Linked DNA regions of Cricetulus griseus. The protein of the gene in region 1 interacts with the protein of each later gene in a biochemical or structural test. Links are inferred from orthologs where the notes say so. Each region holds a gene or a part of one and is shown in the gene's direction. Other genes may lie near its edges.

Evidence for each region. The genes of interacting proteins can lie anywhere in the genome.
Region 2: of the proteins of Trim21 (region 1) and Usp4, one has a biochemical effect on the other in vitro, tested with the Homo sapiens proteins (2 studies listed by BioGRID). The link is inferred for Cricetulus griseus from reciprocal best matches to the Homo sapiens genes TRIM21 and USP4.

What each region holds. Positions count from the first base shown.
Region 1 is NC_048596.1:96,822,513-96,829,341, forward strand, and holds part of Trim21 (E3 ubiquitin-protein ligase TRIM21), read left to right. Parts: intron 1-268; coding exon 269-664; intron 665-1,021; coding exon 1,022-1,117; intron 1,118-2,148; coding exon 2,149-2,379; intron 2,380-4,095; coding exon 4,096-4,118; intron 4,119-4,662; coding exon 4,663-4,763; intron 4,764-5,066; coding exon 5,067-5,611; 3' UTR 5,612-6,829. UniProt on the Homo sapiens protein: E3 ubiquitin-protein ligase whose activity is dependent on E2 enzymes, UBE2D1, UBE2D2, UBE2E1 and UBE2E2.
Region 2 is NC_048597.1:216,546,350-216,553,651, forward strand, and holds part of Usp4 (ubiquitin carboxyl-terminal hydrolase 4), read left to right. Parts: intron 1-615; coding exon 616-699; intron 700-1,256; coding exon 1,257-1,351; intron 1,352-2,673; coding exon 2,674-2,865; intron 2,866-3,534; coding exon 3,535-3,623; intron 3,624-5,322; coding exon 5,323-5,547; intron 5,548-7,302.

The sequences.
Region 1 (6,829 bases):
GCATTATCCCCGCCACTTTCCAATGTTTCTTCTGGAAACTCAGTTTCCCCTTCTGCCTGACTAGATCAATGGGTCAGACTAGGGAGGAGAGGCTGCTGTTGTGCAGGTTGATACTCTTGCCTTCATTTGTTTCCTTCTCCTGTGTCATTTTCTCACATGTTTTCCTTTGCATTGTTTTGGGAACTTTTGGTATTGTCTTGCTTTTGCTTTTGTCATGCAAACTTTCATTTATCTCTTCCCTCCTCCTCTGCACTCAAAATCCTCCAAGATGGCTCTGGAAAAGATGTGGGAAAATGTCATCTGCTCTATCTGTCTGGACTCCATGGTGGAGCCTATGAGTATCGAATGTGGCCATTGCTTCTGCAAGGAATGCATTTCTGAGGTCGGGAAAAATGGTGGCGGTATATGTCCCGAGTGCCGGCAACAGTTTCTGCTCAGAAACCTCAGGCCCATTCGACGTATAGCCAACATGGTAGAAGACCTTAAACAAACAGCCGGGGATGCCAATAAGGACACCCAGGAAGACCGCTGCATGAAGCATGGAGAGAAACTTCTAGTGTTCTGTGAGGAAGATGGGCAGGCCCTTTGCTGGGTGTGTGCCCAGTCTGGGAAACACCTTGACCACACCAAGGTCCCTATTGAAGAAGCTGCTCGGGTATACCAGGTGAGGCTCTAGCACAGAGACACCCATAGATATAAAGAAGGTGCTCCATGAAGAATGCTCCGCTCCCCAGCATAGTGACTGAGAGTCATCCTTACAGGGGAATGGAGGGTAGTTTCTCATTGAGAGGAACTTGTGCATCAAATACAAGCTTATTTCTCAGGAGCCGAGACTATGCCGTGGGATGTGCGTGGATTATGCTTCCTCTGGCTTCCTGGTGAATTAGAAATGTAATGACCAGATCCCATTCCCCATCAGTGTCGCTCTGTTTTGTAAGACATACTAGGTTTCCCCCAAAGTCTTCCCATTCCCCTCTTCCACATCTCTATCTGGGGACTAACCTACCACCTTTTTCTACAGGAGAAGCTCCTCGTGGCTTTAGAAAAACTGAGGAAAGGGAAAGAATTCGCCGAGAAGCTGGAAATGGATCTTGCAATGCAAAGAACAGACTGGAAGGCAAGAACCCGGGGATAGGCTGGGTCCCAGGTCTTGATCTCAAGCAAGCATTAACTATGACTGTGCCTATCCAAGGGGTGGGAGAATTGTTATATAGGTCACTCCCCAAGGACCATCCACACTATATCTCTAGACAGAGAAGAATTTAAGAAAGAAAGAAGGAAGGAAGCTTAAAATCAGATGAGATTTCCCCCAATCTGTCACAAAGTTCAAGAATTACTGCAGAAAGTCTAAGAAGGTCACACCATCCCTTCTGACCCTGTCTCGGTGAATGACGGTCTTGTGATAACAGGTCTGAGGTATCCTGTGAGAAAATCCCAACTCCTGCACCCTTTAGACATGACAAAGAGGGGAGGGAACAGCCGGAAAGGATCTATGTAAGTCTGAGGTAGGAGGCCCACCTGACTCGGTGGCTGCTTAATGATGACCAGGCTATTAGTGCAAAGCCTGGTAAAGAATTAAAGTCTGTCGCATTGGTAATTTGCCAGGAGAAAAAAGGATACATCTGAAATTGACAAGGAGTGTAAGGGGCTCAGAGCAATCACAGACCCCAAAAGTGGAATGGGATTAGCAAAGACTGAATCAAGCTGTGGTGGCAAAAGAAACGAGATCATCTGTGCCATCCGGTGACCCTCCCAAGATAGCAAAGACTGTACTGAGGCCACTGTTGTCCCCTCGGGCCTAGGAATTGTGCATCATTGGAAGTGGGAAAAGATTTTACTCTCTGTGACTTGTCAAGATAGAAGGAGAACACAGGGACTCACATAGGCATTACTGGGTTTTGGAAGAAAAGTTGAGAAGATGTTGGTGCCAGAAGTTGCTGTGTGCCACTTAAACAATGCTGTTTGCTAGAGGCCAGCCGTGTGCACACTGGAGAGCGCACATTGTTGTGGGTGTGTGCGCGCACCTATTCCCAGACATAAACAGAGGGATGAGTGACCAGGGAACAGAAACGCCTCTGCCACCAAAGCCTAGGAAATTTTTATTAAAACTAAAAATGCAAAACTCCTGTCTTGCCCTTGCCACCTCAGAGAAACGTGGACATACAAAAGTCGAGGATTCACTCGGAGTTTGTACATCAGAATAGCTTGCTGGCCAAGGAAGAGCAGAGGCAGCTACAGAAACTGGAGAAGGATGAGAGGGAGCACCTGAAATTCCTGGGGGAGAAGGAGGCTGAGCTAGCTGAGAAGAACCAGGCCCTGCAGGAGTTGATCGCAGAGCTGGAGAGGAGGAGCCGGGGCTCCCAGCTGGAGCTACTGCAGGTGAGACCCATGCACAGGCACCAGGAGTAACTGGGAGAAAACCAGAACTCTCTGGAATGGCTCCTAATGCAAGTGCTGCCTTAATCTTTGGGACATTCTTAAATAAACAGAAATGTGGACCCAGGAGTGGCTTCCATTGCAGAACAACAGGGTATAGATACAAGAGAACATGCTCCAAGTAGTAGCCAATAGATGGACATCCCCGGTAGTGCCAGGTGTGGGAGCTGGAGCATGACACTTAGCACACGTCACCAGGATATATGGATATATATATATATATATATATATATATATATATTATATATAAATATTTACATATCTCAAGTGGTTTTCTTTTTTAAGGAATTAAATGAGAACATCCATTCTGGTGCTTAGACAAGTAGCCATAAGAATGTTTTTGAAAGTATAATTTCCAAAACTGAGTTGTGTCATTTCTCTCCATAGTGATAGGTTATGGGACTGTTTTTCTTTCCTATAGTCAGTGTCTCCACTGATGAAGCCATAAGGGGAGTGGATGCAGGAAAGTGTGCCTAACATTAGTCGTAGTTGGATTTTAATACTTCCTGGATTCCTGAGAGCTCCCTACATGATTTTTAATTTGTTCTGCTTCTGCAAATAGTCTCACTCTTTCCCCAAAATAAATTTAGCTTTAAAATAATTTTTGCCAAGGCATGATAACTAAGAAATTACATATTGGTGCTACTGTTTTTTCTAATTTTTTCCCGTAATGATAACTGCAGATTCCTAAACAGCACACAGATGACTTACCATGGTTCAGGTAAGTGCTACTGTGATCCAAGTCCATGGGTGAGAAAACTAAGGAGCAGAGACATTAAGAGACTTAGTGAGAGAGTCAAGCTAAATGACGTCAGTTTATCTAAGTAGTAAGAGACAAAAAAATAAGATGAAACACGTACATCATTATTTTTAAAATCCGTGTGTATTCTAAAGCCATCTTGCATCCACCCATGATATGTTAGCCCCACCCCACGTTGGAAGACTATGGTCTAGATGATCTCTGTGCTTCTTTTCTCACACCTCCGTCCCTGTCTCTCAGATAAACATTTCCTTGAGTGTTTGTTCAGAAAAGCTGATTATATTGGTTTGGCTTGGAAGGCTTTCCCTTGCTTTTCCCTTTCCTATCCCTGAACTGGCTCCCTAGTGCCTTTTGACTGAGCCTAGAAGGTTGCCAGTTCCAACATTATGGGAAGGAATATTCTCACTTAAGCTCACTCTAAATAAGGCAGAGGATTAACCACAGCACAGGACAAAGCTTTCAACCAACTAACCCTTTCTCCCCAAACTATTCAATCCCATAAATGGCAAGGAGCCTTTCTGGATATCCTACCTCAGCAGGAAGGATATCCTTCCTGCAACTGCCTCTGGGCTTCAGTCAGGTTGTGTTATTTATTTTCCTCTTCTACTGTCTCCATGGTAAACCCCCCTCCTCCAAGAACCTAGCCCTTCTAATTTGTTTTCTCAATCAGTCTGTAAAGCCCTGGTCATATCCTAGCTACAGGCCATATCCATGTTAGCTTCCTAGATATTCTAAGAGCAGCCATGAGTCCTTTCTGCTAAGAACTAGTCAGAATTGTCTGTGGCCCAAGGAAAGGCTGCAGAGCAGGGCCCAGAGGAAACATGGGTGATGTCACATGACCCTGGGAATTCTGTCAATCAGAAACTCCAGAATTGACTCTGTGTCTCTTCTCTCCTCAGGAGGTGACAATTGTCCTGGAAAGGTAAGGAGAGGTTTCCTCAGTTAGAAAAGGGAACGGGAAGTATGTGTGCATAGAAATGGTTACTGAGTTAGGCACACATGTATTGGGAGTTTTCCCCATGCACCCTATTCTCAGAAACCTGGTCCTCTCTAAATTGTTCTCTGGCCTCAAAAGGCTAATGGGCATCTCACTTGGTGGATTGCCTGATGTAGTTAGACTATATCATCTTTATAAAGTCCCCACGCCAAAAAAAGGTAATCTGAGTCTGCTAGGACTCCCCAGGTTCTTCACAGAACTCACCCTATTAGATGGTTGCCTGAAAACTAAATGGAATCCACTTAGTAGTGACCTCTAGCTTTGGGAAGAGGTGGAGGTTTATTTGAGTTTCCTAGAACGTGGAACTCTGAAACTATTTTTTTTTCCTTTCACATAGACAGTGAATTCATGAGTATTTGTAAGTTTGTATTGAATGTGATTATCAAAGTCAGTCCATGAAGAATGTCATTAGGACCTAGAGTAGAAGACAGGAGTGCCAAGTAAGATTCTCAAACTCTTTTTTCCCTAGGAGTAGATCCTTGAACCTGGAATCATTAGATGTTACCTCCCCGGACCTGACAAATGCATGCCATGTGCCAGGGCGGAAGAAGATGCTGAGGACATGTTGGGGTGAGGTGACTTCTAGGAACTGTGGGCTGGAATAGAAGGGGATAATAAGGGTGCAGAGTAGACGGTCATGGAGAGCACAGGATGGTAGCATGTGGAAGAGGTGTCAAGAGAATGTAAGTGTAGTACAGACACACAGGTAAGGTTTCCTCACACGTCAGAGGAAGTACCTGGGTTGCTGTGGGTCATTTCCTCACATAGTGAGGTTCAGGGTCACCCCTCACCTTTGAGTTTGCATGAATGCCCTCACTACAGGCAAAGAGTTGCTGGCCCCACCCAGGCTTACCTGTGATCTTCTTTCTGCAGTACATATTACTCTGGATAGAAACACAGCCAACCCATGGCTCATTATCCCAAAGGATCGGAGACAAGCAAGGATTGGAGATAGCCGTCAGAATGTGTCTGAAAATGATGAGAGATTTAATAATTACCCCATGGTGCTAGGTGCCCAAAGATTCACCTCTGGGAAGATGTACTGGGAGGTAGATGTGACCAGGAAGGAGGCCTGGGATCTGGGGGTTTGCAGAGAATCTGTGCGGAGAAAGGGACATTTTTCACTCAGTCCTGAGAATGGCTTCTGGACCATTTGGCTGTGGAAAAAAGACAACTATGAGGCTGGCACCAACCCCCAGACCACCCTCCACCTTCAGGTGCCTCCATGCCAAGTTGGGATCTTTGTAGACTATGAAGCTGGCATTGTCTCCTTCTATAACATCACTGACCATGGCTCCCTCATCTACACCTTCTCGGAGTGTGCCTTTGCTGGACCTCTACGGCCCTTCTTTAATGTTGGTTTCAATGATGATGGAGGCAATGCAGCACCTCTAAAGCTCTGCCCACTAAAGATGTGATGATCAGGAGCTGGTGCATATTGACAGCACCTTCTGGACACTTGTTACCTCCTCCTTGTCATGATCAAGGTCCAATGACTACTGGAGGCCATTTCTGGCTACTGTTACTCACTTCCTGTTGGTGTTCCTCAGCCATGCTCTGCCTTTTTTGACCATCCAGTTGGAACCATCCCACACCTTCATCTCTTTAGAGGAGTCAGGGCCCCAGAATGAAGGCATTAGATGGAGATAACAGAAAGTCAATGTCAACTGACTTTCAACATCAATATTCCTAACATAGGTTCCTTAATGATTCCCTCCAGTGAAACAACTCCTCACAATGGACCAAATTCATCTAGCTCAGTCAAAATCACATTTCTGCCTCCTTTGTATGGCCTATTTTGTTTTCTTTTCTATATTTCTTGGCTATTACCTTTGGCCAGGTAGCTATTCCTGTATCTTCCATGGCTTGCAGAAGGGCTTCCTAGGAAACTATGTCTCAGTCCTTGTTGATAAAGCCCAGAATATGTGTCTTTAACATTGTATATCTTTTGGTTTGGGTTGGTTTTTCTGGTTGTTGTTGTTGTTGTTGTTGTTGCTGGAGGGTTTTTTTTAATTTGTTGTTTTGTTTGTTTGTTTGTTTTCCCTCCCCGGAATATCTTCCAGGGTAGTGAAAGTGGTTCAGGAAACAGCTAAATATAACAATGACAGTATACTTGATGTCCCCAGTGACAGCCAAAGTCTAGGTGCCATGCTAGCCTGGTGAGTCTTTGCAGTTGAATCTCACAAGAAAGGGAAAGTTGTGCTCAGAGGCTGACAGTTGTCAGTTTATAGGTGTGCTCTTCCCTGGTTCCATTGCCTTGAAGAAAGTGCAATTAGTAGCTGAGCTGGAACACAAATATATCCAGAGCTTCAAAAATGCTGTAAGCAGATTTAAGAAGGATGGATAAATGCACAATAAAGAAAATCCAGGATGATTTTTTTTAATTCAGTCAGTAATTCCAGAGGTTTTTCTATACACTATGGATGGAAACAATTATGACCCAGCAGCTGCTAGAAACAAGAAACTGCAGCTGCTCCCTTGTTGTTCCAACTCAAACTGAAGAAGCCTCTCAGCTCTCGCAGTGCAGCCTCACAGAGACCCATTTCAACACAGAACTTTGATGACTAAAGGTTAACCTGGGGTGGTGTGAAAGGATCCTGGTGTGGGCAACTAGGATGAAAAATGTCCAGTTGGTG
Region 2 (7,302 bases), on another chromosome or scaffold:
TTTCTAAGCAAAGGCAATATTCTCTGGGTGTGATGGTGCACACATTTCCTCAAGGGGAGCAGAGGCAGTTAGAAAAGATCTCTGTCAAGTTGAAGCCAGCTTGGTCTTCATAATGAATTTCAGGCTAGCCAGGGTACACAGTGAGGCTCTGTCTCAAAAAGGAAAAGAAAGGAAGGTAATACATAGTATCAAAGGCAATTTCTATGCTTTGAACAATTCTTTAAAGGACATAAGAGGAGGTGCGACACACATGCCTTTAATCCCAGCACTCAGGCCAGCACTTGGGAGGCAGAGGCAGGAGGATGTCTGAGTTCGAGGTCAGCCTGGTCTGCAAATCCAGAGAAACCCTGTCTGGAGGGGGAGAGGGTGGAGAGTAGTGACCTAATCCAAAAGTAAAGTATAAACAAAAACAATGCTTGGGAAAGAAAGAGGTGGCTGACTGTGCCTGAATGTTGAAGCTTTGCTAATATCAAAGACTTGGCTCTGTCTACTTAACTCACCTGGGCCACACACTGCCTCTGGAAGGGTCTTTATGTCCCCATGATGTGTGCTTCTCCAAGGTCACTTCATGTCCCTTGGAGTACTCCTATCACCTTGCCTGTTTCTCCTTTGCAGTGCCGTGTGACTGTGCCATTGATGGGGGCCATATCTGACCTGTGTGAAGCACTTGCTAAATTGTCTGGCATTGCTGCAGAAAATGTAAGTGGCCCTTAACATGGCTAAGTCACTTCATGGCCCCTTGGAGTTTCCTTTCCAACTTTTAGCCACTTTTGGAAGGTTGTTATTGGACAGCACGAATGTCATCATTGGTGTATGTCTTGATTCCTCGTGGCTTCTGGCCTTGATCATGATCCCTTCCAGCACAGGGAAACACCATTTTTCCTCCCCTGCAATGATGCTGCCCATTGTCAGAGGGACAAGAGTAGGGCTCTGCTTCCATCATTGTGTGCTGTGTGGGGTGTGGAGACCAGCTCTGGAAAGCCACCGGGGTCTTTAGACAATGACAGTCTCTACCAGCGCTCGCTTCTCACCATGCCTACCACTGGAGGGCAGATGTTACCAGCATGCCAGTGCTGCTAACAGCCATGTTCCTCCCTTTCATGTCCTGGCCCTAGCCTTGGGACCACTCACATGGTGTTTCTCTGCAGGCAGCACTACAGAGGGGCATTTCCGCCCTTTGTTTCTGGGTTGTAATCAGTGAGTAGGAGCTCTGTGAGCCATCCTGTCATGTTTATGTACTTACTCTTGATTCTTAGATGGTGGTCACAGATGTATATAATCACCGGTTCCATAAAATTTTCCAAATGGATGAAGGTTTAAGCCACATTATGCCTCGAGATGACATTTTTGTGTAAGTACTTAGTAGTTTCTGATATATCACCAGAAGGACACTGTGGAGGCTTTGTCCTGTTTGTGTTCCCAGGTCTGACATCATTGCTCATGTGTATCTGTCCTAGTGCCTCCCAAGGGAAATGTACGTTCAGGAAACTGAGCATTTGTCAGTACTCAGAAGCATTGCACAAACACAGCTTTGGTCAGTTGTTTGTTTCTTAAAGAACTAGCTCAGTGGTTCTGCTCTCAGCTTCCTTGCTCAGTAAGAGTCATAGCTCTACCATGTACTGTTGGCGCACAACTTTAATCCCAGCAAACAGATCTCTGGGTTTGAGGCCAGCCTGGTCTACATGGTGAGTTCCAGGACAGCTAAGGCTACACAGAGAAACCCTGTGTCTCAACCCCATCACCACCCCACAAAGTCACGGCTGTATGAGAGACCAGGTCAAACAGAGGGCTGTAGTATAGAGGGATTTGGGCTCTGCTATGGTCTCTGATCCTGAGGCAGGTGTCATGGGGCCACAGTTCCCATCTCAGAAAAGAGTAGGTGTTGGCGGCTCAGGCAATCTCAGATATTTCAGCTTGCTCATCACCATGAAGACAGTGCAAAGTGCTGCTTTGTTGAAAAACAGGGTATGTGTCATTTTCCTGGGTACAGAGGTTGCAATGGACTTACTAAATTTTGTGGCTGCTCCAGCCAACCACTTGTTCAAGGGAACTTTACTACTGGCCCGTGGTAATTTCTATAATCCCAGCATTTGGGAGATTGATGCAGAAAGGTTTCTGTAAGTTCAAGACCAGCCTAGGCTACATAGAAGGTATAGGCCAGTCTTGGCTACCTAACAAGACCCTCTCAAAAACAATCAGCTTAGCTGGTAGAGTGTTTGCCTGGTATACACAAAGAACTGGGTTTGACCCTTATCACCAAATAAACCAGGTATGTTTGTAATCCCAGCACTTGAGGGTGGAGGTAGAAGGGCTAGAAGTTTTAAGGTTCTTCTCAGTTACATGGTAAATTTGAAACTTGCCTGGGAAATGAAAGGAGGGAAAGAGACAGAGACTGAAAATTCACTAATTTTAAAAAGTTCAACTTTTTAGTGAGAAAAGGTGAAGTTAGTAGATGGGTTCCTGAGAACAGCCACACTTTAAGTCTTTTGGGGGTTAGTCCAGAGTCTGGGCTGTGTAGATTCAACATGGGTTGACAGTGATCAATCTGTAATCACTGTGGAAATGGCTTATCTCCCTTCTGTTGAAGGTACTCTGTCCTTTATAATCACAATCCTCACCACCTTGCTGCTTATATCTGTCTTGCTGATGGGGCCTCTTCTATGGCTCATGCAGGTATGAGGTCTGCAACACTTCCATGGACGGCTCGGAATGTATCACTCTTCCAGTCTACTTTCGAGAGAAGAAGTCCAGGCCATCAAGTACTTCTTCTGGGGCGGTGCTATATGGACAGCCACTTCTCGTTTCTGTCCCTAAGCACAAGCTAACCCTCGAGGCTTTGTATCAGGCTGTTTGTGATCGTATCAGGTTGGTGCCAGAAGTGCAATTTGGTTGTTTTCTGAGATTAATGGGTCCATCTAGCAACTTTAGTCATTTGTAGTATGTCTGTTGATCCATTTACTCTCTTTTGTGAAAAATGGAATTGTGCCAGCCCCTGGGAGGGTCAGGGTAGAAGCTAAAGGGATGGAGTAATTGGCACATATAAGTACCATGAGCCAGGGTTTGTGCAGACCTCCGATTCCTAGAATCATATCAAGTATACTTAGATGGCACTCAGTTGGAAGAGTGCTTGCCTAGCATGCACAAAGCCCTGTGTTCACTCTCCACCACTCCATAAAGAAGGCATGGGTATAGTGTGCACCTGTAAGCTTAGCACTTGAGATGTGGAGGCAGGTGGGTCAGGAGTTAAAGGTTATTCTTAAATATGTAGCAAATTTGAGGCCATCCTGGCATGTATGGAACCTTGTTTCCAATAAAATTAAACAATGCACGTGACCCAGAAACCATGAAACTGGCCTTTCTTGGTATGTTTATGGGCTTATTAAGTTAACATGTGATTTCTTAGGTGCATCTTAATTTCTTGAACCGTTACATTATGTTTGTTAGTAACTGAATATATAAATTATGTACTGCTTCATAGCTGCATTGTGGAGAAAGAGTTAAAAGTTAATACTAATAGTCTTTTGTTTTTTTAAGCCGCTATATAAAACAGCCTTTGCCTGATGAGTTTCTCAGCTCACCCTTGGAACCTGGGGCCTGTAATGGCTCCAGGAGCAGCTATGAAGGTGAGCATTCCTGCTGTGAGGCTATGGTGCCTCAATTTCCCTCTTCTTGGAAGAATCTGAGGTGGGCTGGTAGAGGTCAGGGTCTCTTGGGAGTCATTGTTAACCTTTGTACTTTGTAGAGTCCTCTTAGAGCCCTGCACATACACATTGGGTTTCATCTCAGACACACTGAGCCTAGAGGGATTGGGTAACAAGGCTATGGTTATGAAATAGAGTCAGGATTTACTTGGTTGCCCTATGGTTGTGACCAGTACACCTTTTATCCCAGCACTTGGAAGGCAGAAGCGGGTGGGTCTCTGAGTTCCAGGCCAGCCTGGTCTACAGAGGGAGTTCCAGAACAACCTCTAAAGCAATACAAAGAAACCCTGTCTTGAAAAACAAAAAACAAAAAAATTTAAAAAATTTATTGGTTTTGCAGTGCTGGAGATCAGGGCTAGAGTCTTGAACAATCACTGACCACTGTGCTACCTCCCAGGCCTCCAGAATCAGAATTTAATTCTCATTGTTAGCATAGCCTAGTTGGTACTTACCTAGCATGTACCTGTGCAAACCATCCTGCATGGCTGGTGAGCCTTTAGTGCCCAAAGATGACAGACGTCCTGGTCAGCTAATCAGAAGATTGAAGCTGGCTATTTGGGGCATTTCTGTCTTCCTAGGAAGCTATAGTCAGTGGCTGACTTTAGGTTCTGGGAGAGAAGGAAATCAGTGTGGAAAAACAGTACAGTGTGTTCATGGCATCCCTTGTGGCCAGGTGCTGACGAGCCGTCTTTACCAAGGAGCACACCTGTCCTGCCGTGTAGTTGCTACTCTTCTTTTGGACACTTAGGTGATCATGTGCCTTTATGCCTCCCATAAATGCCCTCAAAGCTTTGGTTTTGGTGGATTTTTAAATTTTTTATTCATTACTCTTGTGTCTTATGTGTGCATAGTATGTGTGTGGGCATGTATGAATGAGGTTAATTTTTTGGAGTCAGTTCTCTCCATCCATCCTTGTGCAGGCTTTGAGGCACAAACTCAGATTACCAGGTTTATGCAGCAAATGCCTGTATCTCTGACCAGTCTAGACGACCCCCCCCCTTTTTTTCTAGCCAGACTGGGCTAGAACTCAATTTGTAGCCCATGCTTGCCTTTAGTTCCCAATCCTCTCTTCTCTCACCTAAGCCCTGGGATTGCAGGATTTTAAATAGACTTTTAAATTTTGTTCCTTGCAAAACTGTTTTATTGAGTGTTTCATTTTAGTGTGTTTTTGTCTGTGAACCTAATGATGAGGACAAGAGGGAACTACTTACAAAAGACTCATTAAAGTTCTCTGGGTCTCTGCTTCCTCATCATGGACTCCTAGCACACCTGTGTGCCCCTTGGGGACTGTCACATGTTAAACAAATACCTAATACGATAGAGGTGTATAAAGGTAAATGCACTTTAACATACACAGCAAAATTGGAAGAAGTAATAACACACTTAAGTATTAAATAAACATTTTATGGTTTATTTGTGGGTTTTGTTGTTTTGAGACCGGGTCTCATGTAGCCTAGGCCAGCCTCAAACTTGCTGTGTGTTTATGGCTGGCCTTGAACTCACTATCCTGCCTCAGCCTTCTGAGTGCTGGGGTTATAGATAGACATCACCATACCTGGCTAACTAAAAATCTCAACATTGACATATGGGACTCACATAGATTGTTTTTCATGTGCGTCAGGAGACGACGATGAAGAAATGGATCATCAAGAGGAAGGAAAAGAGCATCTGTCAGAAACAGAAGGCAGTGGTGAGGACGAGCAGGGAGATGGCCCTAGTGAGCCCACCCACAAGGTGAAGGGCCAGCCAGGGCACAGGAGGCTTTTCACCTTCAGTCTTGTCAACTCCTATGGCACTGCTGATATCAATTCACTTGCAACTGATGGGAAACTACTCAAACTCAACTGTAAGTGCTCTCTGATGCTCAGCTAGACTGACACACTGCCATCTCCCTGAAAGTCACTTTACCTGACACTCACTCCATCAGGTTTTAACAGCCTTTATGTAGTCAAGTGAGTCCCTTGGACAATGATTGAGGACACACACACCCTCCATCCTTCAAAGGGTTTTCACCTGACTCCTTGGGTAATGGGGCAGCAAGTGTGACACAAACACAAGCATGTTCCCCCGCTCCATTTGTTTGTTTATTTTTTGAGATAGGTCTCTCTGGCAGCCTTGGCTGACCTAGAACTCGTTTTGTAGACCAGGCCAGCCTTGAACTCACAGATCTACCTCACCTGTCTCTGCCTCCCAGGTGCTGGGATTAAAGGAGTGTGCCACCATTCTCTTGATTATTTTTATGTATATGTATATTTTATGTATATGATTGATGTTTTACCTACATGCATGTCTGTGCGCCACGTGTGTGCCTGGTGCCCATGGAGACGAGAAGAGGGCATTAGATCCCCCACAACTAAAATTACAAGTGTGAACCAACCACCAAGTGGATGCTAGGACCTGAACTTGGGTCCTCTATAAGAGCAACAAGTGCTATCTGTCTAGCTCCAAAAGATAGTCGTCTCTTGTAGGTCTGCATTGCCTCAGACTTACATGCTGGCCTCGAACTGCTTATCTTCTGTCTCCCTCATGAGCCCTTACATTCCAGGCACACACTACTATGTCTTGCTTTCACCTCTGTAACAACATTCCTCTGGCTCAGTGACACTTCTGTAGTCACGTTAGGAGCTTTTCTGTAGACTTGTTTCACTCATAAGAATGAGCTCATTATTCTCTTTGTCCCCTTAAAAATACTTAATCAAATATGATGCACTTAGAGGGTAGTTATAGATTTATGTATCAGTTCCATGGAGCTTTGTAATCGTGACAGCATCTCATCAGGAAGAGGACATTCATCATGATGTCTCCATGGGCAGGGGAGAAGCTGTACCCTTTTGTGTCTTTTGCCTTCTTTCTTTAGGACAGAAATTAAATAATTAACTATCAATCCTTCACCTTCCTTTTTCTGTCCCCCCCCCCTTCATTTTAATTTTAAAAGTTTTATTTCATGCGTTTGGGTGTTTTCCTGCATGTATGTTTATGCACATGTGTGTGTAGTGCCTCTTGTAGTACCCAAGAGGAACTAGAGCTGTAAGAACTTATCAGCCTCCCAAATTGAGTACTGGGGACTGAATGCGCTCCAGTATTCTACAAGAGCAGTAAATGACCTGAATCACTGAGCCACCTTCCTAACCTGACGCAACCCTTTCAGTTTTATTTTTTATATAAGTGGGTATTTTACCTTTATGTGTGTCTGTGCACCGTGTGTGCCTGCAGAGGCCAGAAGAGGAAATCAGATCCCTGGGACTGGAGTTTCACACAATCAAGAGCTGCCATTGGGTGCTGGGTCTTCTGGGACAGCAGACAAGGCTCTCAGCTGTTAACCCATCTCTCCAGCCTCCAGCTTTAACAGTTTTCAGTATTTAGTTCATAGTTCTAGAGACTGAACTCAGCGACTTGTACATAAAAGATCGGGGCTCTAGTACTAAACTGTAGTCCTAACCACACCCACACCCCCACACCCACATCCAAGACAGGATTTCTCTGTGTATGAGGTTTCTCTGTGCCTGTCTTGGAACTCTGTAGGCCAGACTGGCTTTGAACTCAGATCCACCTATCTCTGCCTCCAGAGTGCTGGGACTAAAGGTGTGCGCCACCATGCCTG